7 linked regions of the Sus scrofa genome follow. The protein of the gene in region 1 interacts with the protein of each later gene in a pairwise test. Links are inferred from orthologs where the notes say so. Each region holds a gene or a part of one and is shown in the gene's direction. Other genes may lie near its edges.

Region 1 (3,500 bases):
GTCTATATTTCTTTATCCCTAGCACAACCTATTAGAGTTAATTTAAATTTTGTCTTTTCTCACTGTGATTGAGTACACTTTTTCTTTTTAGGATGAAATTTTGAAAGCAGCGGTAATGAAATATGGAAAAAACCAGTGGTCTAGGATTGCCTCACTGCTGCATAGAAAATCAGCCAAGCAGTGCAAAGCCAGATGGTATGTACCAGTTAATGAGTGGAAAACAGAAAACAACCTTAATTATGATGAGGAAAACATTATTTCTTTGAACTTTACCAAGGACAGCAGGCATTGTGATAAAATAGAACGTATGGAGTGGGGGATGGGAATTTAGATTTAAGAATTAGCTGTCATTTGCTTTCTGTGTGATCTCAGGCAAGCCACTTCCTATCCCCTTTCTCCTGCCCCTGTTTCCTCCCAGTTGGCCTTAACTGATGAGAAGTGAGGTGCAAATGAGTCAATGTTGTTTGAGAGTGCTTTGTGAAGCATAAAATACAGCTACTTTTAGGGACAGGCGGACCCTCGCTTATAAGTGGATTGTGTTTAAAAGCTTATGAGTTGCTTGTTTTAGAATGTACTTTCACAAAGAAGTAAATAATAAATAATAGATTATTTTCTAGGCTAGCTTACAGTAGTTGAGTTTCCTCATTAACTAATCCCATTGAATGTTTGCTTCCCCCAAATATAACATAACCCAACAGTACACCTCTGGTGTCCCCTTTTAAGTCACAGGGTAGTGGACACATTAAGCTCTCTACATACGGTTTTGGCGTGAGTGATCTGGCCCCAACTCTGACCCATGTGGTGCTAGGAATCATATTTTGAATTGTATTAGGGTGACCTAATTCCCTAGGTCCCTGGGTAGAGGGAAGGATCAGAATGTAGAGATAGCCCCGCAAAAAGGAAGATGATCCTCAGCCTGTGAAAGTGGTTCTGATTTCTGCTTCTCTAAGCTCCTACTCCAGTATTTAGTTAGGCTTATATATTGTTTGTAGGCCTCTCCATCCACCTAAGTAGACAGGATGGAAAGGGTGGGATGGGGGTGTTAGGAAAAATAGAGATGACATGATAGTTTTCTTAAATTAGAAAAACTCACCCAACAAAGGTATACATTGTCGAAAAGCATTTAGTGAATGTAAGGCAGATGCTTAAAGAAGTAAGCCAGGGTGTCCTGACAATCAAATCAAAGCAAGAGAAAGTACTATGAAAACTAGAAACACAATATAAATATGAAGTGGTTTGGTCTTATTTGCAGATCATTTCAAAACCTCTAATAAAGTGTTGTGAGCCACATGGGAAGTCCAAAACCTCTACTATTTATTAGAGGTTTTGGACTTTATTAAAGTGTAAGATGAATGAAACCAGTCAGTGGTTTAGAAAGAAGGCATATGATCATGTTTCAGTCAAGTTACCTTTTTTAAGCATTACTAACCTTGCATAGTTAAATACAGTAGAATTTAGTGAGACAGGGAATTAGAGATGAGGCAAATTTAACCAAATGGTTAATAATTCTGTTGTAAAAGAAGAACAGTTTTTGTGACTGAAGGATGAGAATTAACTTGCATTTTTCAGAGACTAGAAGTCAGCATGTCTTTTGTGGAAATGGGGTACTCATACTGGGTGACTAATTAAGGTATAAAATGGTGTCTTTTTCATAGGTATGAGTGGTTGGATCCAAGCATTAAGAAAACAGAATGGTCCAGAGAAGAAGAGGAAAAACTGTTGCACTTGGCCAAGTTGATGCCAACTCAGTGGAGGACCATCGCTCCAATCATTGGAAGAACAGCCGCCCAGTGTTTGGAACACTATGAATTTCTTCTGTAAGTGAGTCTCCAAAAGCAGTATTAAAATATGTATGTCGGAGTTCTTGTTGTGGCACAGTGGAAACAGTCCTGCTAGGGTCCATGAGGACTTGGATTCCATCCCTGGCCTCGATCAGTGGGTCGGGGACCCAGTGTTGCCGTGAGCTGAGGTGTAGGTCGTAGAAGAGGATCTGGCTTGGCTACGGCATAGGCCAGCAGCTGTAGCTCTGATTCGACCCTGGGAACTTTCTGGGAACCTTCGTATGCTGCAGATGTGGCCATAAGAAGAAGAAAAAAATATGTATATCTTCTGAATGAGGCCGAATAAACTTTTAGCATTTTCTCTCTTTAAACATTAGTTATAGATCTGAATAAAGCCAGGGGGGCTAAAGCTCTTGGATTATGTGTTCCAAATCTCATGTGCTTGATCAAGATTATGAATCCTGTTATATAGTTTATAAAAGAATAATTTAAAAATATTATATATGGAGTTCCTGTTGTGGTGCAGCCGAAACAAATCTGACTAGTATCCATGAGGATACAGGTTTGATTCCTGTCCTTGTTCAGTGGGTTAAGGATCTGACATTGCCGTGAGCTGTGGTATAGGTCACAGACACGGCTAGGATCTGGTGTTGCTGTGGCTGTGGTGTGGGCCGGCAGCTATAGCTCCATTTCCATCCCTAGCCTGGGAACTTCCATATGCTGTGGGTGCCTCCCTAAAAAAAAAAAATTGTACAAATCATACATGTTCATCATAGAAAATCTGTGGAAAAATGAGTAAAAAAACAAATAAAAATCACGCATAACCACATTGTAGAGAGTTAACTACTTGAACATCTTGGTTCTTCACTGAAAGCTTTTTGGTATGGTTCTCCTGCATTTGTGATTTAAGATGCTGCTTGGATCCTATTTCGTGGTGAATGGAAACAACTGAAATTAGAGAACTTTAAAGCCATCTCTTTCAGGTGAAGCAGTAGTGGAAATGCCTTAATTTGTTAATGCTCATCCATTGGGTTTTTGAAAAAAAGAGTTCCAGCAATAGGGGACCTGGTATTTCTAAGACTAAATGGTGTGGCCATGTGACTAATTACTTTGGGCTCATTTCTAGGGATAAAGCTGCCCAAAGAGACAATGAAGAGGAAACAACAGATGATCCACGAAAACTTAAACCTGGAGAAATAGATCCAAATCCAGAAACAAAACCAGCACGGCCTGATCCGATTGATATGGATGAGGGTAAGTGTTTGTTTGTGAGGAATTTCTGTGGTAACCATAGACTCCTCAGGCCTCTTTTTAACTCTTTTAGTTCTCTTCTAAGCTCCTCTGACTTTTTAGAATCATGGTTCTATCTGCAGTTGTTATTGTAAGTCTCTTTCTATTATAGAGTAATTGTTCTTTTTAGACAGTTCTTTATCTTTTGATATTGTAGTTCCTTTCGTAAGTTAAGCAGTGTAACACTGCTGGACAGGTTTTCTGGTGGCTAGAGGTCAGCCCTTTAGGAATCTATATTCTCATTCCTCTTCAGAGGAGAGAGATAACAGATCAGGATTTGGGGTTCCAGTGCTCTTATTAACTACTTTCGACCCTAGGCAAGTAGTTTGTTCTTCATGAAAAGGTAGCACCACAAAACTATGAGGGTGACAAATATGCCTTTTGAGACATTGAATCAAGAATTAGAGAAACTAGGGAGTTCCCTTGTGG
Region 2 (3,500 bases), on another chromosome or scaffold:
TCCAGTGCCATGGGGCCCCGCGGCCGTGGCGTCGGCGCTGAGGGGGGCAGCACAGCCACTGAGGACCTGTCAGGGGGCAAGCCCGAGCCCGATGCTGTTTCTGGTGAGTTGGGGGTGCATGTGGCCTGCTCCTGCTCTTCTCTCCCCCACCCCCTTCCCACCCTGTTTTGGGACACTAGTCACCAAGATGCTGCTGTGTATCTGCAGAATCAGGATTCTGTGGTCATGTTTGGAAAATGTCACACTCTCATCCCCAAGTAATATGAGGGCATTCCAGGCTCTGAGAAGTCCTGCAGGGATGAAGAGTTGTCTGGAATAGGGACTTTGGAATCCGATTTGATTCGAGTCCTGGCCTTTGCACCATGACTAGTACGTGATGCGGGCAAGCATGTAACTTCTATCTCTTTCTTCCCCAGTAAAGCAGGGCACATGATAGTCCCTGATGTCCACTGTGTAGAGCAGTGGTCAGGTTTAATTGAAGGAGTGCCAGCCCCCAATGGACAATGCATGTGGTGTCTGGCCACCCCTGGGAAACTGACTCAGAGAGTTGCTTCGGCTCCCCCTATGTCAATCCAGAACCCCCGCTCCCTCCCCCAGTGCCGCCTCCGGGACCTTTTTTTGCCCCTTCTGTGGAGTGATGGCTCTTGCCACCTTCCTCAGGTGGGCTTTAATTCAGCCAACAGATGTTCACGCGTCAGGCCCCAGGTAAAAGAAGGAATTATAATTTGAGCATCAGTGATGTGAGCACATTAGTGCTCACCATCTCGTAAACCTGTGAGGAGAGGAACATGAACCTGAGAGAGGTTCAGTAACTTGACTGAGGCTACAGAGCATATAGCGGAGAAAGGATTTGCTCTCAGATCTGAGCCCACTGTCTGTGCCCAGCATCACAGTCCTTCTCATGGGCGCCAGTCCTCCATGGGATGCCACAGGTCGTTTTTAAAGCTGAGGGAGGAGGACAAGGGCGTGGGATGGCATGTGGGCTGAGGAGTAAATAGTTTAAGGCCGAGGCAGCTTTTAAACCACCAGAATCTCTGGGCCTTGCTTATTCTGGTCCACAAAACGAGTAAGGCACAAGCTACAGAGCAACATAAAGGTATTGTGGGCTTGTTTTTGTTTTTGTTTTGTGGCAAATGGTGATCTCTGTGGGCTCTAAGCATGTCTTTTATGGGATCACAAGTTACTTGGAGGGAGACAGAGGTCCCAGCAGACATTCCGCACAGAGCTGTCTCGTCCAGCAGCTCCTGCTGCTCCCACAGAACGGAGGAAGATTCCTCAAGTCTGGCTGGCTTTGTTTAGGATGCATTGGGCAGGCCAGCCCTCTTCCTGTGCTCTTGGGGATCTATCTTGGGGACTGGGGTGAAGAAAAGCCCCGTATCTTTGGCTGAATTCACCTTCCATCATGAGGCAGGGTCTGGTGACGGTGACTTCCAAGGCAGGGGCTGTAAAGTGACGGGAAGGATACTGACCAGCCACGGGGCCCAGCGGCTTCTCTTCAGGGTGCTCCAGAGCCTGGCCACTCGAGTACAGGCGAGCCACGTCCCTTTCATCAGGTGCCCACAGTGGCCGGGTCCTGCAGTTCCCAGCCCCTGCCCAGCTCCTCCAGCAGTGGACACATCTGGAGGTGTGTAGGGGCCGGGCTGCTGTCCTTCAGACCTGTGTGACGACTGTCCCCTCTCATCCTAGTGGCCTCCGAGGCCTTCGAAGATGACAACTGCAGCACCTTCGTGTCTGAAGATGACTCGGAAACCCAGTCTGTGTCCAGCTTCAGCTCAGGACCCACAAGTCCGTCCGAGGTGCCTGACCGGTGCCCTGTGGCCGTGAGGCCGGGCAGCCTGGACCTGCCCAGCCCTGTGTCCCTGTCGGAGTTCGGGATGATGTTCCCGGTGCTGGGACCTCGCAGCGAGTGCAGTGGGGCCTCCTCTCCTGAGTGCGAGGTGGAGCGAGGTGAGTGCCCGTCCTGGATGCCGGGGTGCTGGGGACGTGCTGGGGTGGGGACAGAGATGGTTCCCAGCTCCGTGCCTGACCAGGATCAGCGTCCTTCTGCCTCTCATCACAATAGTCCTCTTGACAAGCACCTGCTAGAGAGGTCTGTTTCCCAGCTGTCACAGGGGTGTGACAGATTTCATCTCTAAAGATGAGGGATATACGGAGTTTCTCGAGAAACACAGGCAGTGAGACGTTAACGCGATGGAGGGGCTTCTGTGACAGGCTCGGTGGAGCAGCACTGGGAGAGTCTGGGTTGAGCCGGCTGACGGGCTTGGTACTCACGCCTTGATCTTTACGTTTCTACAGGAGACAGGGCAGAAGGGGCAGAAAATAAAACGAGTGACAAAGCCGGCAGTCATCGGGGTCTCGGCAGCAGCGGCGGTGACAACGGCAAGAGCCCGAGTGGCCCGTCCGAGGCCCGGGCCTTGGAGGACAGGATGCGGCAGCTGTCCCTGCAGGGCTCCAAGGGCAGAGACGAGGTCCTCGTGGACATGAGCATGGTGCAGGTCGGCTGATCCAGCCGTGGCTCTGGCCTAAGCACACAGCGATATTTATACACGAAACTGTACGGAGAGCGTTGTGCCAATAATCCTTTGATGTATGCCAAATCCTAGCATTTCCTCTAAACTGCACTAAGAACGTTTCAGTGACCTTGAGGGCAGAAGATGTTTCTTCTGGGTGACAGCTCTTGGGCTGGAGCGTTTTTCAGCGCAGAGGTGTCGTTGCAGGTGGGCTGTGAGCAGGCCCACAGCCTTTGTAGGACGTTCCTTGTCACCGTGTCATGGAAGCAATAACTGGTCCCTGGGAAAGACCCCGAGTCAGGAAAGGGGATGGGAAACCGAGCCCGGCCAGGGTCATCTGGGAAAATGACCTGTTTTCTCCTTTAGATCCCTTGGGATCTAAAGGAAAAAAATACATGAGACAAAACTCAACACCTTTTTGACCCAGTGAAAGCTTTCCAAAAAAAAAAAAAAAAAATCCGAGAACACAGTTCATGTTCATTATCTCTGATTTATGGAGGGGGATTTTAGAAGAGTATATTTGGTGGGACACCCATTAAAATCATTTTCTATATAAGCTTACCATGAGCTGCACTTTTTGGGGGTGGGAAAGGTGAATGCTGGTCTGGGGAGGGGGACAAGGGCAGCAGGGGCCTGTCACAGAAGGGGGTTCGTGGCTGTTGGGGAGAAGGTTCTGTAGCATAAACCTCATCCCATCAGCCAAGGGGACTTATTCTAAGAGAAGTTGCATGTGAGGAATGGTTGCCAGTGTTCTAGATCGACAAGGTGTTAATTTCTCCATAGGTTGTAACTTTAACAATAAATTATGATGCACTAGTATTTCTTAGAGGAAACTGTTCCTTCCAGCTAGGAAAGGGAGTAGGCATGTGTTGGCAAAGGCTGTTAAATAGAAGCAGTGGCGTCTGTTATGCTAATAGTATGTTATGTGACTGCTGTTCTTGTTTTCATGGTTACATGCATTTAGAGCTTTGTATTTCATTTGTCCTTTTC
Region 3 (3,500 bases), on another chromosome or scaffold:
CGAGGTGGACAGCACCTGAGAGAGATAGCCAGCCGGTTAACAGGCATAAGAGGGACAGGGCTGCCTTCTGAATAACCCGCTCCCAGTGATGGTGGGGCGGCGGGGAGCTCCAGGCGTGGGCCCTGGCCTCATGCTGGGAGGAGCTGGTGGACTCTGAGCCCGCAGCCTCTGGGGCCCAGGCTGTCTGCGCTGGCCGGAGCCTCCGAGCTGCCCCTGTCCCCACGCAGCTCTACGCCAAGCTGCAGGCGGTGAAGGCGGAGATCCAGGATCAGCACGACGAGTACATCCGCGTGCGGCAGGACCTGGAGGAGGCGCAGAACGAGCAGACCCGGGAGCTCAAGCTCAAGTAGGGCCCCTCCTCTTCCGGTTCGGGGTCCTCGCAGCGCCCCGCAGGCGGTACCGCTCCCCGCCGGGCTCCTCTCCTTCCCGAAGGCTTCATTCTGTCTACTCACCCTTGAGTCCCGGCCCCTTAGGAACAGAATGTGTCTGAGGGATGCAGGAGGGGCCCATCTGGGGTCTCTTCGACCCCCTGTTTCCTCCTTCCTTCCTCCACCTGCATGTGATGACCCGCAAGGTGCATGTTGGGTGCTGCCCAGAAGTAGCGCCTAAGGCCCCGAGCTCTGCATTAGAAACGTGATTTTCAAGCGCTAGTACGTCTCCAGGGATCCCCTCCCCCACCTTTTTGGTTTTGCCACCTGTTTCCTCTGCCTCTTTGCTTTTCGCTTTCTCATCCTTCGACCTTCCCATACAGCGGGTGGTCTCACCCCCCCAACCCCCCTCTCTACCTCATCCCTGCTCCCAGGTACCTCATCATCGAGAACTTCATCCCCCCAGAGGAGAAGAACAAGATCATGAACCGGCTTTTCCTGGACTGTGAGGAGGAGCAGTGGAAGTTCCAGCCCCTTGTGCCCGGCGGAGCGTGAGTCTCTCACCCTGTTGTCTGGGCCTGGGGACTCGCCCCAGCTTGGGAGCGGTCGGGGGCCTGTGCGGAGAGGAAGGTTTGGGTGGATTGCGGAGGGCTGGGAAGGATGCCGTCGGAGGACGGGGTGCTCAGGCCCTCGTTCCGGGTCTCCACGGAGGAAGGGCGTTCTGATAAACGCAGTGGTGCTTTGGCCTGGGATACAGAAAATACCCAGGGAGGGACCTAAGGAGGGCAGGAAGAGCATTCCAGCCTCTTGGCAATCCCAGGGAGTGCCCACATTTGGCCAGTCTGGTGAATATTCACTTATCTGAGGCCCAAAATAGCCACAGTCGGTCATATTGCTGAGCACTCTGTGTGCGTCGGGGTTATGTGAGACTTTGCAGGCAGAAGGTAAATCAGGCACAGTCAGAGCTCACAGTCCAGTGGAGAATACAGAGAAGTAATCAGATCAGGAAGTGATAGAGCCCCACTCAGCTGGGTGATTCAGCATTTCCACCTGTTTCCACAACCTCGCCTTGAGGCGCCATTTGCGTGCGTTGGCTGGGTATGGAGCTCCCTCTGCTGGTGGCCATGAAGAACGAGACTGGATGTTCAAACCCAGCGGAGGGACTGTTGCACCCAGCTGGCCCACTGTCCCTTAATTGAAAATCTGTGTACAGAGGTGCTCAGCAGGCCGGACACCAGTGCACTTCCTTGGAGATTCTTTGCTTTATCTATCCCAGGAGTATTAATGCCAGGAGAGGTCAGGAGTCTCTCCAAAGCTCGGGTGGGAGGCTAACTGAGTGGTCTGCAGCTTCTCACTGGAGCATCAGATGCCTGCTTAATCTGTCTACCTTCTGAGGGGCTCATCCTCCTGCAGGCAACACGACCCAAGTTTGTAAATGTCAAGGTCATAAGTCAAGGGCTTTTCAGTGGCATCACTTTGTGGGGGTTTTGGTGTGTTTCGTTGTTGGTTTTTTCTTTTTTCTTTTTCTTTTTTTTTTGGCCGAGGCCATGGCATATGGAAGTTCCCAGGCCAGGGATCAAACCTGTACGAAGTTGCAGCCTGTGCCACAACTGTGGCAATGCTGTCTCCGTAACCCTCTGTGCCACAAGGGAATGTCCTCAATGGCGTCACTTTGGATTTAAAATAAACCTTCAGGAGTTCCTGTCGTGGCTCAGTGGTTAACGAATCCAACTAGGAACCATGAGGTTGTGGGTTCGAGCCCTGGCCTTGCTCAGTGGGTTAACGATCCGGCGTTGCTGTGAGCTGTGGTGTAGGTCGCAGACACAGCTCGGATCCCAAGTTGCTGTGGCTCTGACAAAGGCCGGCAGCTACAGCTCATATTAGACCCCTAGCCTGGGAACCTGCATATGCTGCAGGTGTGGCCCTAAAAAAAAAAGACAAAAGACAAAATAAAATAAAATACACCTGCAGTAATACCTCATCTAACACAGAAGTTCTCCATCCTGGTTGCAACTAGAATCACCTGTGAGTTGGTCTCCAGAGAATCTGATTTTAAAGGATCTTGGGCGGATCCCTGGACTTAAAATTTTTTTTCGAAGCTTCCAGCTGATTCTACAGGGAAGCCAGGCTGAAAAACTACTACTCCAGTGCCATCTGCTGGAGGAGGATGCTGGTCTGTAGGGTTATTTTGTGTTTTCAGAGTTCTTGAGTTGAAGGTTGTAGGTGGAGGAATTTCTTTACATTGAATAGTGACTGGATGAAAGAGGCTCTGAGAAGACATGTAGCTTTTTTTGTTTAATTTTTTTTTGGGGGGGGGTGCTGTGCTGGTGGCATACAGAAGTTCCTGAACCAGGGATCAAACCCAAGCCACAGCAGTGCCAATGTGGGATCCTTAACCACTAGGCCATCAGGGAACTCTCTAGTTTTTAACTTTGAAAAATAAGGACTGAGAGACCAGTACCAAAAATTCCAATAAACCCTTCACCAAAGCTCACCAATTGTTAGCATTTTGCCACTTCTTGCTTTATTCACACACACACACCCAACCATTTGAGATTAAGTTGCAGTCAACCCTTTCCCCATATTTCCTAAGAATGAGGACATTTCTCTTACATAATCACGGTACAGTGATCAAATTCAGGAAATTCTGTATTGACACAAGACTATTACATAAACAATTTTCAATTTTAGCCGGTTATCTTAATAGTGTCCTTTATGGCAATTTCCCATCCCCTGCCCATACCCCACTGGCCCACCTTTGGAGATGCATTGCACTTAATTGTCCTGCCTCTTATGTCTCCTTTAATCTCAAACCAAGAAGGGATCTTGCGTTTTGAAAGTTTCATGCTTTGGAGGAGTTTTATTCATTTCTCAAAACATTGTCCCTGCCATTTTTACTTGACCGCCTAAGCACACAATCCAAACTTCAAAGCATGGTAAGTGCTTTGCCTGAAGCTAAGATAAGCTTTCTGCTTAATGTTTATGAATTTCCATTCTTTTTTTATAATGATTTTTATTTTCTCAGTTATAGTTGGTTTACAGTGTTCTGTCAATTTTCTACTGTACAGCAAAGGAACTCAGTCACACACACACACACACACACACACACACACACACACACACACACACACA
Region 4 (4,249 bases), on another chromosome or scaffold:
TGTTTAGTGAGGCTGTACAGCCAGGGAGTTGAGAACAGGGGCCTGGAGCCGGCTGCCAGAGTCTGAATCCCAGGTCCGCCGCTCCCGAAGCGTACACCTTAATGCTCGCCGCCTCCTCATTGTCATCTGTGCAATGGGCTGATCGTGGCACTTAACCCAGAGTTACTGAAAAGAGCGACCGAGAGGATGTGTATAAACTGCTTAGACTCTGCACCTGGCGCATGCTAAGGTCTCTCTCTGTGTGTTTAAGAAATACATGATCTACACGTGTGACTTGGAACCAGTTAATCCCCTGAAAGGCCCAGACTTGTTGAGTCATCGCCCTGGAACACACAGCCTAGACACACGGGACCCTTTTTGTCCCTGGCCAGCAGTGGGGAGGGGCGGGGCAGCCGAGTCTGTCCCCAGGATGGCTGGTGCATTCACTAAGGTGTTCAGGCCACCAGGAGACAGCCCCTCTTCCCTGTCACCAAAATTAGAACCCTGGGCCCTGAAAGATACCCCGGATCCAGGACTCCTCAGGGCTGTAAAGGGCCCTTTAGATGGGGGTGGGGGGCGGGTGCTGAGACCCTTTGGAATGGGGAGAGGGCCGGCAACAGCCCAGCTCACTGGGCAGCCTCCCTCCTCTAGAGAGCTGCCCTTCCTCGGCGGGCTCTCCGGGGACGCCGGCCGCGTCCTTACCTGGCTCCTCCGGCGTCCTGCCTGACCTTTACTTAAAGACCAGCTCTAGCGGCTGATGGGTTTTCGCGGGTCCCGGAGGAGACCCTTCAGACGGCTCGAGCCTGGCGCGCTGGAGAGAGCCCCCTAATTGGGGCAATGAATCACCGAGCGCGGCTCCCGGCTGGACACAAAATAGATAGAGGAGCCGGCGAGCTATTGTGCGCAGTTTGGGACCGGGGGGGGGGCGGGGGGGGGTTGGGAGGGAGGCAGGGAGGAGGAGGTGGTGGAGGAGGAGGAGGGAGGCGGAGGGGAGGGAGGGGAGGGAGCGCGAGGGAGGGAGTCCCCCGCCCGCCGCGCTCCCGCCCTCCCGCCCTTCCCCTCCCCTCCCCTCCCCTCCCCTCCCCTCCTCCCTCCTCCCCAATTAAATGACCCAACGCTTTGGCAGGCGCCGGAGCTCGCACATGCGGCTGCCGCTCCAGCCGCCCGGGGCCCGCCGCCGCCGCTGCGTTCCGGGCGCGCTCGCCGCGGCGCCGCCGGGGGCTCGGCCGGCCGGGGGGGGCGCCCCTGCGAGCGGCCGAGCGCCCGCGCCCGCGCCGGCCGCCCGCCGCCAAACTTTGCGGCGCGCACACATGCTCCAAGTTGGGCGCGGCGGCGGCGGCGGCGGCGGGCGGTGAGGGCGGCCCGGGGCGCGCGGGGGCCGGCGCGGCGCGGCCATGAGCGGGCGGCCGGCGCCGGTCTCCCGCAAGCAGCGGCTCATGGCAGCCGTGGGCGAGCGGGCGGCGGGCGGCGGCGGCGGCGCGCCGCTCTCCTGCTTCATCTGCGGCGGCGGCATCGGGCGCGGCAAGGAGCTGAAGCTGCAGGTGAAGCAGCCGGCGGCGGCGGCGGGCGCGGGGGCCCCGGCGCAGCCCTTCTTCCCGTTCCTGCAGCAGCAGGAGCCGGCGCCCGGCGCGCGCGAGCTGTCCCCGGCCGACGGCTGCGTGCTGGTGTGCGCCGTGTGCCGCTGCTTCCTGGGCGAGCAGTGGGCCGCCTTCGAGCGCGCCCGCACGCCCGTGGACAAGCGCATGTACTGGCTCAAGCGGCCCCACCAGTGCGACGCGGGCGCGGGCGGGCGCCGCGGGGGCGCCGGGGCCCCCCGCGAGTGGAACGTCGCCTACGCGCTGGGCGGCGCGGCCGACGACGACGAAGACGGCGGCGGCGGCCCCGGGCCCCGCGCGGCCCCCGAGGAGCCTCGAGATTCCGAGCTGTCGGAGCTGTCGGACACAGACCCCTTCTCCGAGCCCGACCCCGCCGCGCGCGACGCCGCCAGTCCCCGCCAGGACGGGGCGCCAGCGGCGCGGGCCGCCCCCGGGCCCGGGCCTCGCGGGGGCCGCTGCCCGGAGTGGAGGCCGGCGCCGGGACCCCCTCCGGGACTGGGCGCGGAGACCCCCACGCCGGGGGACCTGGAGGACGACGGGATCCCCTCGAAGCTCCACGTGGACGGGGAGCCCAGGGCCGGCATCCGGCGCCGGCGCAAGGGCGCTGGGAGGCCCTGGGCCCCAGAGGCCCGGGCCAGCGTCCTGAGGGGCCTTCCGGACCCTTGGCAAAGGCCTCCGGTCCAAGGCGCCCCTGCAGAGGGCGTGAAAGGAGCCCCTCTGGGCAGGGCCGCCAAGACTGCCGAGAGCAAACCGCTGGCGGAGACGCGCGCTTCTGAGGACAGTGACGTCAACATCACCAGCGAGGAGGAGGACCGCAAGGAGCAGCCTCTCCCAGGCCCCTGCTGCCCCAGAGACCAGGACGCCGCTGGCGGGGGCCGTGCCCCCCGGGCTCCCCTGGAGAGCCGGGCTGCACCACCAGAGGGCCTTTGCTGCTACATCTGTGGGTGTGCGCTGTCCCCGGCCTCGCAGCACCAGATCCACGTGCAGAAGCAGGAGAAGCTGGCCCAGGCGCCCTTCTTCCCCTTCCTGTGGCTGCACAGCCCGCCCCCGGGGGCGCAGCCCATCAGCGAGGGTGGCAGCACCCTGGTGTGCCCCTGCTGCTTCTCCTCCCTCATGCAGCAGTGGCAAAGCTTCGAACTGGCCAACGTGCCGGTCCTGCAGCGGCTCTACGTGGTGCCCCTGAACAGCCACGCTCCCGGCATGGCCTCCAAGGGCAGGAGGCTCCCCAGGGAAGAGGGCCCGCCTGCCGGGGCCCTGCCAGAGGCCTGCTACCTCTGCGGGGAGGACTGTACGCGGGATGCCCGGGCCGTGGCCTGCAGGACCCTCAACGGCAACGCCAGGGGCTCCATGCATTTCCCGTTTCTCAGCCTCCTGCCCTGCCCGCCCAACGCCCAGGGCCCCAACAAGCGCTGTGAGGTCCGCAGCTGCCCCAAGTGCTTCAGCGTCCTGGAGGACGTGTGGGCCCTGTACCGGGCCTGCCAGAACGAGGAGCTCATCACCTCTGTGCAGGGCTTCTTGGGCCGGTACCACCAGGCCTTCTCAGCCTCGGACCCTGCGCTCTGCGAGCCGCCCGCCTCGGCCCAGGGTGGCCCGGCCTCCGTCTGCTACATCTGCGGGGCCGAGCTGGGCCCCGGCAAGGAGTTCCAGCTCAACGTGAACCCCTCCAGCCGCCTGGGCGAGAAGGAGCCCTTCTTCCCCTTCCTCACTGTCTACCCGCCGGCCCCGCGCGCCAGGCCTGCCGACTCCACCGGCCTGGTGGCCACCTGCGTGCTCTGTTACCATGACCTGCTGGGCCAGTGGCTGCAGCACGAGGCCCGCAGCGCCCCCCACGCCATCAGCCCCTGGTCACGGCAGTACCAAGTGGAGATATTCGTGTGCTTCTTCTGCCAGCAGGAGAAGAAGCGGTGTCTCGGGCTCAAGGCCGTGCGGGTGGCCCGGCTGCCCTTGTTTCTGTACACCCTTCGAGCGAGCCACAGCCTGCTCGTGGACGATGGGCGACAGCTGATCATCGGCGCCTGCACGGAGTGCGGGACCCTGGTGTGTGCTGGCCAAGGGCTCACCCGCCAGGGACCCACGGGCTGGAGCTCCCCAGGGGCGGCGGCGAGGAAGGTAAGCAGCTCCGTTCTCGTGTCCTCCTCTGAAACCCGAGCAGGGAAGGAGGCGATGTTGTTTTCTGCACCGCTGCTGGAGAGGAGAGGGGTTTTGCGCCCCGTGTGGTCCAGCAGGAGGGGCGCTCCCCCTGCCCCAGGTCACCCGGCCAGGGCTCAGTGAGCACGCTGACCTGGTTGAGCTCGGAAGCGTGTGACAGGCCAGAGGAGTTGGGAGGCCAGGAGTGGCCTCGTGGAAGAATAGGGCAGTACTGAAAGCAGCAGGCATGAGCCTGAACTTGAGTGTTTGCAGCGGAATCTATCAAACAGAGGAAGTTCGGGGCACGTCTGTCATCCGCCTGATAACATTGGTAATTAGTCCAGCCACGCAGGTCACCGAGAGGTCTCGGCACTCACCCGGTTTGAAACACATCAGAGGTGGAAGTTCCTCTCGACTCTCACTCCCACTCAGTGTAGCTTTTCCAGAATTTTCCACCCAAGTTCACACTTTCCCTCTGAGGCTCTCTGGTTGCTTAAGAGCAGATGGAGACAGATTTCCAGACGTGGGGGTTTGGGACCCCGGGGACG
Region 5 (3,500 bases), on another chromosome or scaffold:
TTATACTGTTCAAACTTGATGGCTTAAACATTTTGTTTCCCTCCCTGAAGTGATTGCACATGCTTGTTTTCTCACTGTTGTGTTCCTTCTGTTACTTCTCGACACATCCCTTCCCCGGGGAAGCTTGTCCTAGCAGTGGCCCCTCCAGCAGAGCCAGATAGTCGTCCCCTGTGCTTCCATAGCCCCCTGTTCATGTGTCTTTTATGCCCTGTGTACTGGTCATAGTGTACTTACCTTTTTCCGTACTAGACTGTGAGCTCTTTGAGGGCAGGAACCTTCTCTTTATTTCCCCTCTGGTCACATGCAGTGCCTGGCACCTAGCAAGTGCCTCTTTGAATGAATGGATGAACGAACTGACAGGCTCTTTCTAATTATGATTGTTGATGTCATCTAGCTTTACCGTTAGAAATTATCACTCACTGTGAGCCAAGCCATTCAACTAATGGCAGCCACCTGGCCCCTGCTCTCTAGCCCATGCTTTCAGTCCAGGGTGGCACGGTGTGGAGTGACTGGTAGTTACTTTTATTAGTGCCTAATGTTTTAACTTATTTCTTTCAGGAATTGTTGGATAAGTATTTAATAGCCAATGCAACTAATCCAGAGAGTAAGGTCTTCTACCTGAAAATGAAGGGAGATTACTTCCGGTACCTTGCTGAGGTTGCTTGCGGTGATGATCGGAAACGTAAGTGCGCTTGGTTTTATGGGTACAGCTAAGAAATAAAAGGAGAGCGGGATAAATTCATACTGTTGCCTTACATTCTCAAAAATGAAAACAGTCATGAGTTTACATTATGCGCCCTTTTTGAAAAATTAAACTCATAAACTGATTATAACCTGATAAAGTTTATTAAATATTATTTAAAAAAACATGCAAGTATTGGGCATTCCCTTCGTTGCTCAGCAGTTAACGAGCCCGACTAGGATCCATGAGGATACATGTTTGATCCCTGGCCTCACTCAGTGGATTAAGAATCTGGCATTGCTGTGACTGTGGTGTAGGCCGGCAGCTGTAGCTCCAATTCAGCTCCTAGCCTGGGAACTTGCATATGCCACAAGTGTGGCCCTGAAAAGGAGGAAAAAAAAAAAAAAGCAAATGTCTATCACAGATCCACAAATGCATACATTATGATGGCAACTCCAGAGGCATCATCAGGAGACCCCACTCCTTCATAAATTCCCAAAAGAAGTATGTACAAATATTAAACAAAACACATGTACAAAAATATTCATAGCAGTGTTATTTGTAAGAACACAAACCTCGAAACAATTCACATGGGTATCACCAATCGGATGGACGGACAGATAGTGGTCGGGTCCTGTTTTGAGGATCCCGGCATCCGTCCCCTGGCACAGTGATGCCTGCCTATCCACAAGTAAATTTGCCCCTTTTTTGTACTCAGGCTTGACAGAGGCTTCGAAGCTTTACAACCTTCTGGTGCATTAACCCTTAGCTGTGCTTAGAGGTACATTTCCTGATGTAGGAGAGGAATGAGGGGTTGGTGGGTGGAGGGAAGCAAAATGGAGAGTATCTGGGAGGGGAAGTGAAAAAAGCCCCCATGGGACTAAAGGAGGGATGAGGTGGGGATCAAAGCACATCTGCCTGTGTCATAATTTTGCTTCAGGAACACATTCTAGGTGTACCGTACAGAAGTGAAGAGGCGTTTCCACTGCCTGTAGCCGTGTGGACAGATCTCAGCAATCCGGTGTTGAATAAGGAGTTCCCTGATGGCTCAGTCGGCAGGCTGCGATCTGGCGTTGTCACTGCCGTGGCACACGTTCAGGCCCAGTTAGTCTGTGGCGTTAGAAATCAGGAAAGGGCTTGGGAAGGGTGTCGAAACTGGGGGCGGGGACAGGGGGCCTTCTTGATACTGAGAATGTCCTGTTTCTCGAGCTCGCTCCCAAGGTGACAGACATTTTCTATCAAGAGCCAGATGGTGCATATCTCAGGGTTCATAGGCCATGTAGTCTCTGTCAGCAGCCACTCAGCTCTGCTTTCGTCGTGGAAAGGCGAGTATAGACAACATGTGAATAAATGGCTGTTGCTGTGTCCCAGTAGGGAAAACCCCAGGCTTATTACTCTTTAGCCTTTAAAATTTGGTTCATCATATTTTTAGCCCCAGAGTTCTTTGCATATGCTTTGGATGTCACATGGTCTTTAGCATCTTATATCTGGAAACTTAAGGTAACTGGAAATTACATGTAGGCTAGAGAAATAGGATGTTGTACTTTTTCTGCTTGACATATTAATTCATTAGCTACTACCCATCTTGAAGGATCATAACATTGACTGCTTATTATAGATAACCAGATTTCTGAAAAAGAGAGGTAAGATGAGAGTAGTATTACTGGTATATAATTTATCATAGAAAACATAGATATGGGGCAAAGAATGACCAAGTTACCTAACGTGATTATAAAAAGGTCAAGGTAAACTTATTAGCAGTGAACTCAGTCTCCTGGAGTAATGACAGCTGGGCATGCCATCCTGTTAAATTCTGTGTGTGTTCATCAAGCTATAGAAGTTCCGCTTAACTCATTTTTTTCCCAGAAGTTCATTATTTTCTTCATTTTGCCCCATCCCAAAAGGGCATGTACCCACACACATTACGGCCTCCTCTCCTCTCTGCTCCATAGAGAGACGCTAACTAAAAGTGAGACAGTTCTACCACCCCAAAAGCAGTGTATTTGAGCACATAAAGGAAAACTCTTGTGCCTCACTGTAACACAGTCTGTGTACTGTTGTTATTCATATGTAATTTCTGTTGCTATAAAGATAAGCAGACCTGGACATGATTAGTGTTTGCACAGAACTAAACGCTTAAATGTCAGCCAGCCGAAGGGATCGAGAGGTTGAGCCATAGCCACGCGTTCATCCGATCTAACCATTTCTGACTCGGCCTCTTCTAGTCCTGTGCATAGACTACTCTGGTAGTCTGGTATTTTTTACTACCTACAAGCTGAGACGCCATTCGTACTCATTGTAGCGCTTCCTTCTGTGCCAGGGAGCAAGAGCTCCTTAGTAGGCGAGGGCTGTGCCAGCTGTGATTACCTCAGTAAATGCGCCATTTCAGAGCAAGGAAAATGCACACGTGCTGGCTGTGAAGGAACAGCTTAATTTCTGTTAGGTCCGTCTTTTTTCAAGCTGTAGTGGGACCAAAGGCCTCATTCAGAACACCTGCCCTTTGCAAAACATGGTTTAATCAGATTAGTGTGGGTAGTGCTTCCTGGACGTTTTTTTCAGGAAGGTAACATTAGGCCAGTAATTAAACTCTGGTCAGAGCAGATTTGGATCTATCTCTGGGTGCTTTTATATTGCCTTTCACATAATACACCTTGATACCAAGGGTAGGTGGTGTTTCTACAGGTAAATCACAAAAATAGAGATTTTGGTGGTGATCTTTGTAAAATGTTTCCATTATTTCAGGATGGAACATTATAGCTAGCTTTTTTCCGAACTTTATTGAGTTATTATTGATGTGTGTGTACCAAATTATTTTTAA
Region 6 (3,500 bases), on another chromosome or scaffold:
TTAGTTGTGATTTGGTGTTTTTTTGAGAGGAGGCAAGCTCAAGTTCTTTGACTCTGTCATCTTCTCTCCTCTCCCTAATGTCTATTCCTTATGTGTGCAGGGTACTTTAACATTCACCACGTTTTCAAGTGCTTTTTCAAATAATTTCATCAGAGATAGGACAGGTTTTATTGCCTCTGTATTTCACATGAGAAAACTTCAGCATTGAGACAATTAAAAGACATTCTAAGTTTCCTGGAGTTAGAGGCCAACCCAGAATTCAAAGCAGAAGTTTTGATTTCCAGTCTCTGTTCCTTCCACCTCACTATGCTCTGTCTCAGTACTGCTCATCTTTCCTCTAACCAGGCTTTCCCTTCTGACTGCCTCCCCACGACACCAGCCAGGACTCAGCCCCATTGGCCCAGTCACTCCTCCTTCTCCTCCAGCATAGAGACCTGAGCTGGAAAGCAGGCTCTAAGCCACATTTGCTTGACCAGGATTATTTCAGTCTCCTGGTGGGATTTTCCAATTCCTCCCTGGAGGTTTGCTGCCTGGGCTCCAGTAGGGCATCTCAAACTTACCAGGGCTTCTATCTCCTATTCTTCTCATACTACTCTATATTTCACTCATCAAAATGGAGATTAGAGTGCTGAGTTTAATCACACATAAACCCATTCATTCTTTGATGAAATATTTATATATATATATATATATATACATAGTGTATATATCTAGGTATATTTCTATTTAGTTATAAAGCATGGTAAAAGACATACCACATACAAAATTATATTCAAATCTGGGGTTAGAAAAACATACCTAATCATTTTTCAAACTGGAAGTCACTTTCTCATGGAACACCCTTCAATTATAGGAACATCTTACTTTTGCAAAATAAGTGATTTATTTGCCATTGGTTTTGACTGTGGGTACATGGATGACGATTAGGTAAGAAGAGCGTCATGTTACCTTAGATTTCCAATGGCAAAGCCTAAGCTGTGCATGCATTTGGGGAGCAGCATTTTCCAGGGTTCCTAAAGCTGTGATTATCTTTACTTGCTAGATTCAGTTGCCTCCCCTCCAGTTCGGGATGTGGGCATGAATTCTCCAGCTCTGGTCTTCCCCAGCTCTTCTTCTGCTCCTCCTGGCTCAGAGACCACAACCTTCAATAGGACAAATGGTAAACAGCACAACTACAGGGCTCAGGGTCTAGTGATGATGGAAAGTTATTGATGCAACTAATAGTTGGTTCTCTATATGTACATTATCTGAATTTAGAGAGATTTTTTCTGCATGTCCCAAGGCCCTTAGCCCTACTTATTGCACCTTCTGTGGCTGCCTTTTTTTGTCATTTTTCTTTCTCCTATGGCTTTCCTATTGCTCTGGTACTGCCTCATTGCACTATAATCTCTGCCTTCTTAAAAGTGCTCTCTATCCAACTTAATTTCCTTGTCTGTGTCTTCTCAACCCCCAAATTTAAAAGTTTTTATTAATTATATCTGCCCTGAATACTTTATTGGTCGATAAGGATAAAAGCTGCCTCCTGGCAGTCTATCATCATGAGGTGATATAAGAAAGATTATAGAATATAAAACCCAGAGTACCTATGGACTTCACACTTGTGCTTTCCAAGACTGTCAAGATTTCTTGTTTCTGGCCTCTCTCACTACTTGATGTCCTTTTTGGATTGAACTGAGAATATGCTTATGAATAACAGTGGATTCTGTTGTGTTGTGGTATTATTCCTCAGAGCTGGGTTTGGATGCTTCTCCAGTGAAGAAGAACCCTCACCCTCCCAAGCTGGAAGGTGATGCTACTGACGGCTGCTTTGCCAATAAGCATGGCCGCCATGTCATTGGACACATTGATGACTACAGTGCCCTAAGACAGCAGATTGAGGAGAGCAGACTGCTGGTCAAGAAGATAGCATCTCTCATGAGATCAACCTGCAACTTTCCTGGCCTTGAAGCTCCAGGCCCAGAGGTAATCATATCATAGCTCTCAGGTGCACCTTTTTCCTCAGGGCCTTTCTTCTTCTGATTTTAGCTCCTTCTCCTGCTATTTCTTTTCATGCTCCAGATCTGAAGCCAGCTCCAATCTTCCATTTTCATCTGCTAAGTTCACTATAAGCTCTGCTCTGTTCTATATGTAGCTGACTTGATATATCCCCCTCAGAACCACAGAAAAGCTTTTACAGCACTGCCATCCTCATTGCCATCCTCATCAGTAGAGCATGTTAAGTGTCAACATACATGTGGTGCTGTACTGAGTACCTTTTATTTGCTTATTATCTACTGAAGCCATGCTTGCACATGACCATCTGTAGGCAGAAAAGAAAAAAAAAATATGTCAGTTGGCTAGGAATTGAGAATTTGAATCCATATGGGCAGGCGTGATATCGGACGTGCTGTGGGAGTGACAGCATGAACCCAGAGTCAGCTGTTATCCCAAGCAGGGAAAGTAACAGGTCCACAGGGGGTGCATAAGTTCTTTGGGGAGTAGAAATACCAGACAAAGGGAGTGGCACCTCAGTCCTACAAGCAGTGCAGCTCATCTGATGCATAAGCTGTGATTTAGGGAAGGGCAAGATGGGGCCAGTGCAAAAACTAAGGACCTCAGATTCTAAAGCACAAAGCAGGGCTAGAAGTTAAAGAGTATGGGGGAAGCTGGAATCAAATGAATTCCTGCCATAGGGTGTTCCTGCTGAGATCAGAATTTCACAGGGTCAAGTAGACCACGTCTGCGCCTCACTCACAAAAGAAGCTGAGGCTTATGCTCAGGAAAAAAGAAGTGATTTCTCAGCCCCAGGGATACCCATGGCTACCTCCCCCTTTTCCCAGGAGATGGGCAGCAAAGGTGTCCATGAGCTCCTGAGCAGCACCAACACTCTGCACCAGCGGCTGGAGGAGTCGACCTCCCTCCTCACCATGTTCTGGCGAGCAGCCTTGCCAAGCTCCCAAGGCCCTGCACTGGCTGGCAAAGTGGTAAGAAACCAGCATCGTCTACAGGTCCTGCCCCCAGATATCCTTCTGCCTCCTTGGTCTGCACATCCTGAAGTTTGGGAGCCAAATGGTCAGTTGGGACAGAGGGAGCTGATGGGAGTGTCCCTGGAGGGAGACTTCCCCATGATGGCCGATTTCAGTCTATCTCTGACTGTATCTCTTCGCCTCCCACCCACAACCCCTCAAACAAGTAATCAAAGAGAAAAAGGAAAAGATATGGAATAGGCAGACATGAGAGCCCGGGTAACCCATAAACCTTTGGTTTCTTCACTTTTCCAAAGTTTAGCTGAGCTGAAGTTCTTGGCCATGTTGAAACATCAATACTTCCTTTCCCATCCCCACCTTACCCCCAGGTCCACATAGTCAGGCAGGATCACAGAATGTCACCAGAAGTCAACTGGCCTCTTTTAGCCACCCACTGGAATCCCAGAAAAATCACTTAAATCAGCTTCTCTGGGTCAGTCCTAGGGAGAGTCCGCCTCCCCCAGGGGCTTTCATATCTCAGGCTGGCTCTCTGGT
Region 7 (3,500 bases), about 1.5 Mb from region 1:
GCTGTGACTCAGGTCACTGCTGTGGCGTGGGTTCTATCCGTAGCCCAGGAACTTCTTCATGTCGTGGATGCAGCCAAAAAAAAAAAAAAAAAGTACTTTGGGAGATTAGCTAAATTACATTATACACATCGTGTATACAGTATAGTATAAATATGTGTATGTATGTGTTTTTACTAAAATGTATATATTTACAGACATATCTCAGAGATACTGTGGGTTTGGTTATAGACAACGGCAGTAAAGTGAATATCGCTTTAAAGTGATTCACACAAACTTTTTGGTTTCCCAGTGCATGTAAAAGTTATGTTTATACTATGCTGTGCTCTACAATGTATGTAGTAGTGTTGCATCTGAAGCAACAATGTGCATACCATAATTTTAAAAATTCATTCCTAAAATATGCTAACTAACCCTCATCTGTGCCTTCAAGTGAGTTGTAATCATTTTGCTGGCTGAGGTTTTGAAATATTGGGATAATTACCAGAATGGGCTACAGAGACAGGAAGTGAGCAAATGTTGGAAAAATGGTGCTGATAGACTCTCTTGACTCAGGGTTGCCACAAACCTTCAATTAAAAAAAACCCAGGAGTTCTCGTCGTGGCGCAGTGGTTAACGTATCCGACTAGGAACCATGAGGTTGCGGGTTCGATCCCTGGCCTTACTCAGTGGGTTAAGGATCCAGCATTGCCATGAGCTGTGGTATAGGTTGCAGACTCGACTCGGATCCTGTGTTGCTGTGGCTCTGGCGTAGGCCAGTGGCTACAGCTCCGATTAGACCCCTAGCCTGGGAACCTCCATATGCCTCTGGAGCGGCCCTAGAAAAGGCAATAAAACAAAAAGACAAACAAAACAAAACAAAACAAAACAAAAAACATAGTATCTGCAAAGTGCAATGTAACAAAGTGTGTCAGTACTTATATACATTTATTAAAAAAAAAAAAAAGCCACAGCTGTGGCACAGGTTGCAGCTGGGGCACGGGTTTGATCCCTGACCCAGGACCTTCAGTGTGCTGCAGTTGCAGCAAAAAATTAATAATAATAAAAATAAAATTATACTACCAAAGTCTGAAATTGTTGTTCTTATAGTTAAGATTTGATTCTATACAGCCAAAAATAATTCTAAGGAAAGCCTTAATAAAAAAATATAATTATAGCATAGTACAATATAAAGTGAAACATCCTATTGAAAAGATTTCCAGGAGTTCCTCTTGTGGCTCAGCGGGTTAAGAACTTGACTAGTATCCATGAGGATATTATGGGTCCTCACTCAGTGGGTTAAGGATCCAGTGTTGCTGAAAGCTGTGGCATAGGTCACAGATACAGCTCAGATCTGGCATTGCCTTTGCTGTGGCTGTGGTGTAGGCCAGCAGCTACAGCTCCCATTCAACCCCTAGCCTGGGAACCTCCATATGCCACAGGGTGCCGCCCTCAAAATAAAAAGAAAAAAAAAGAAAGAAAATATTTCCAACATATTGGAAATTTTCTTAGGAGGAAATAAGAAACGTACAGAACAGGAGTTCCATGATGGCTCAGTGGATTAAGGATCTGGCATTGTCACTGCTGTGGCTCTTGTTACTACTTTGGCTTGGGTTCCATCCCTGGCCCTGGAATTTCTGTGCTGAGAGCCTAGCCAAGGGAAAAAAAAGTACAGAACAGTGTAAGTTACTGCCATTTTTGTGCAAAAATAAAGACGAATGTAAATTTGAGTGTGCACATAAAATATCTCTGGAGAAGTTTATTAAACTGCGTGGCACGATGCTGGGGAGGCAAAGAAGGAAGGCTTACTTTCACATCTCCTTTAGTACCTTTTGAAGTTTGTACCAGTGTTGTAAATTACCTTTTCCCCAAAAGTGCAATTTTTTTAAAAAAGCACATCCTATGTATGTAGCAAGGATACATGCAACAAAATGGGACCGGAACCTTTAGACCACATTCTCCTTTTCTCTTTTTTTCCTTTTTGGTTTCTTTTTTCTTACTGGCCACCCTGTGGCATATGGAGTTCCTAGACCAGGGATCAGATCCAAGCCACAGTTGCAACCTAAGCCCACCATTCTCCTTTCTGATTGCTTCCTTTGTCCCAAAGACACAGAGAGATGTTTGTACTTGTATGCTTGCTAAAAGGCATCTGAGGAGTTCCCGCTGTGGCGCAGTGGTTAACGAATCTGACTAGGAACCATGAGGTTGCAGGTTCAGTGCCTGGCCTTGCTCAGTGGGTTAAGGATCCGGCGTTGCCGTGAGCTGTGGTGTGGGTCGCAGACGCAGCTTGGATCCCTCATTGCTGTGGCTCTGGCGTAGGCCAGTGGCTACAGCTCTGATTAGACCCCTAGCCTGGGAACCTCCGTATGCTGAGGGAGCGGCCCTAGAAAAGACAAAAAGACAAAGAAAAAAAAAAAAAGGCATCTGAAATGACTACAGCCTCTCGTTTGCAGCGGATCAATCCCTCTGCTGAGATGGTGATGATCGACAGAATGTTCAACCAGGAGGAGAGAGCTGCCCTCTCCCGGGACAAGCGTCTGGCCCTCGTGGACCCCGGTAAGAAACTTCAGAGTAAAAGCAGAGGAGAGCTGCTGCCATGGTTCAGGAGCCGAGGCTTTGGGGACACTGAACCAACCTTTGGGGTAGGAGGCCTGAAGGTGGATCCTGGATTCCGGGGAATAAAAACCCAGAGTTGCGAGCAAGATATGAATACTCTTGAGTAGGTCTGTGTACTGCAAAATCCCAACTGCAATTTTCCATTCCGTTAAGTGATTCTTTTTTTTTTAAATGTTTTTATTATAGTTGATTTACAGTGTTGTGTCAGTTCTACTTTATAGCAAAGTGACCCAGTCATACATGTAAATATACATTCTTTTTCTCATGTAAACCTCCATCATGTTCCATTACAAGTGGTCAGATACAGTTCCCTGTGCTACACAGCAGGACCTCGTTACTTATCCATCCACTCCAAATGCAGTAGTTTGCATCAGTTAAATGATTCTTCTTCCCATTGTCAACTCAAACTTCTCAGTCTTTCTCTAGTTTTTGAGAACTAAAGAAAGTCAGAAGGCTTCCCAGAAGCAACTAAACCTCAGTGGATGGTGTTACTATGTGCAAGGCCCCCCGGGGGTGGGTGTATCAGTGAAACTCGGTCCCTGCCCACAGGCTGGTAGACTGCAGTGCTCCTTGTAGGTACCATTCTCTCACCCTGTTGGCTTCCTGCCAGTGCATGTGTGCCAGGTTTGACCCACATTCTGCTTTTAAAAACGAATTCTTGGGTTTCCCATTGTGGCTCAGTGGGTTAAGAACCTGACATTGCGTCTGTGAAGATGCAGGTTCAATCCCTGACCTTGCTCAGTGGGTTAAGGATCCAGCATGGCCATGAGCTGTGGTGCAGGTCTAAGATGCAGCTCGAATCTGGTGTTTCTGTATCTGTGGTATAGGCCTGTAGCTATAGCTCCAATTCGACCTCTAGCCTGGGAACTTCCATATGCCACAGGTGTGCCCATAAAAAGAAAAAAAAA

What was found.
Region 2: the proteins of CDC5L (region 1) and SH3BP5 interact in a two-hybrid assay, tested with the Homo sapiens proteins (2 studies listed by BioGRID and IntAct). The link is inferred for Sus scrofa from reciprocal best matches to the Homo sapiens genes CDC5L and SH3BP5.
Region 3: the proteins of CDC5L (region 1) and KIF3C interact in a two-hybrid assay, tested with the Homo sapiens proteins (2 studies listed by BioGRID and IntAct). The link is inferred for Sus scrofa from reciprocal best matches to the Homo sapiens genes CDC5L and KIF3C.
Region 4: the proteins of CDC5L (region 1) and GSE1 interact in a two-hybrid assay, tested with the Homo sapiens proteins (2 studies listed by BioGRID and IntAct). The link is inferred for Sus scrofa from reciprocal best matches to the Homo sapiens genes CDC5L and GSE1.
Region 5: the proteins of CDC5L (region 1) and YWHAQ interact in a two-hybrid assay, tested with the Homo sapiens proteins (2 studies listed by BioGRID and IntAct). The link is inferred for Sus scrofa from reciprocal best matches to the Homo sapiens genes CDC5L and YWHAQ.
Region 6: the proteins of CDC5L (region 1) and myomegalin interact in a two-hybrid assay, tested with the Homo sapiens proteins (2 studies listed by BioGRID and IntAct). The link is inferred for Sus scrofa from reciprocal best matches to the Homo sapiens genes CDC5L and PDE4DIP.
Region 7: the proteins of CDC5L (region 1) and BICRAL interact in a two-hybrid assay, tested with the Homo sapiens proteins (2 studies listed by BioGRID and IntAct). The link is inferred for Sus scrofa from reciprocal best matches to the Homo sapiens genes CDC5L and BICRAL.

What each region holds. Positions count from the first base shown.
Region 1 is NC_010449.5:39,387,397-39,390,896, forward strand, and holds part of CDC5L (cell division cycle 5-like protein), read left to right. Parts: intron 1-91; coding exon 92-195; intron 196-1,655; coding exon 1,656-1,817; intron 1,818-2,907; coding exon 2,908-3,035; intron 3,036-3,500.
Region 2 is NC_010455.5:2,505,602-2,509,101, reverse strand, and holds part of SH3BP5 (SH3 domain-binding protein 5), read left to right. Parts: coding exon 1-103; intron 104-1,686; coding exon 1,687-1,947; intron 1,948-2,295; coding exon 2,296-2,504; 3' UTR 2,505-3,500. UniProt on the Homo sapiens protein: Functions as a guanine nucleotide exchange factor (GEF) with specificity for RAB11A and RAB25. Inhibits the auto- and transphosphorylation activity of BTK. Plays a negative regulatory role in BTK-related cytoplasmic signaling in B-cells.
Region 3 is NC_010445.4:112,997,924-113,001,423, forward strand, and holds part of KIF3C (kinesin-like protein KIF3C), read left to right. Parts: intron 1-227; coding exon 228-346; intron 347-802; coding exon 803-919; intron 920-3,500.
Region 4 is NC_010448.4:3,654,765-3,659,013, reverse strand, and holds the start of GSE1 (genetic suppressor element 1), read left to right. Parts: upstream 1-1,449; 5' UTR 1,450-1,721; coding exon 1,722-3,683; intron 3,684-4,249.
Region 5 is NC_010445.4:126,766,295-126,769,794, forward strand, and holds part of YWHAQ (14-3-3 protein theta), read left to right. Parts: intron 1-558; coding exon 559-682; intron 683-3,500. UniProt on the Homo sapiens protein: Adapter protein implicated in the regulation of a large spectrum of both general and specialized signaling pathways. Binds to a large number of partners, usually by recognition of a phosphoserine or phosphothreonine motif.
Region 6 is NC_010446.5:100,650,619-100,654,118, reverse strand, and holds part of myomegalin, read left to right. Parts: intron 1-1,042; coding exon 1,043-1,159; intron 1,160-1,729; coding exon 1,730-1,962; intron 1,963-2,819; coding exon 2,820-2,963; intron 2,964-3,500. UniProt on the Homo sapiens protein: Functions as an anchor sequestering components of the cAMP-dependent pathway to Golgi and/or centrosomes.
Region 7 is NC_010449.5:37,925,153-37,928,652, forward strand, and holds part of BICRAL (GLTSCR1-like protein), read left to right. Parts: intron 1-2,429; coding exon 2,430-2,532; intron 2,533-3,500. UniProt on the Homo sapiens protein: Component of SWI/SNF chromatin remodeling subcomplex GBAF that carries out key enzymatic activities, changing chromatin structure by altering DNA-histone contacts within a nucleosome in an ATP-dependent manner.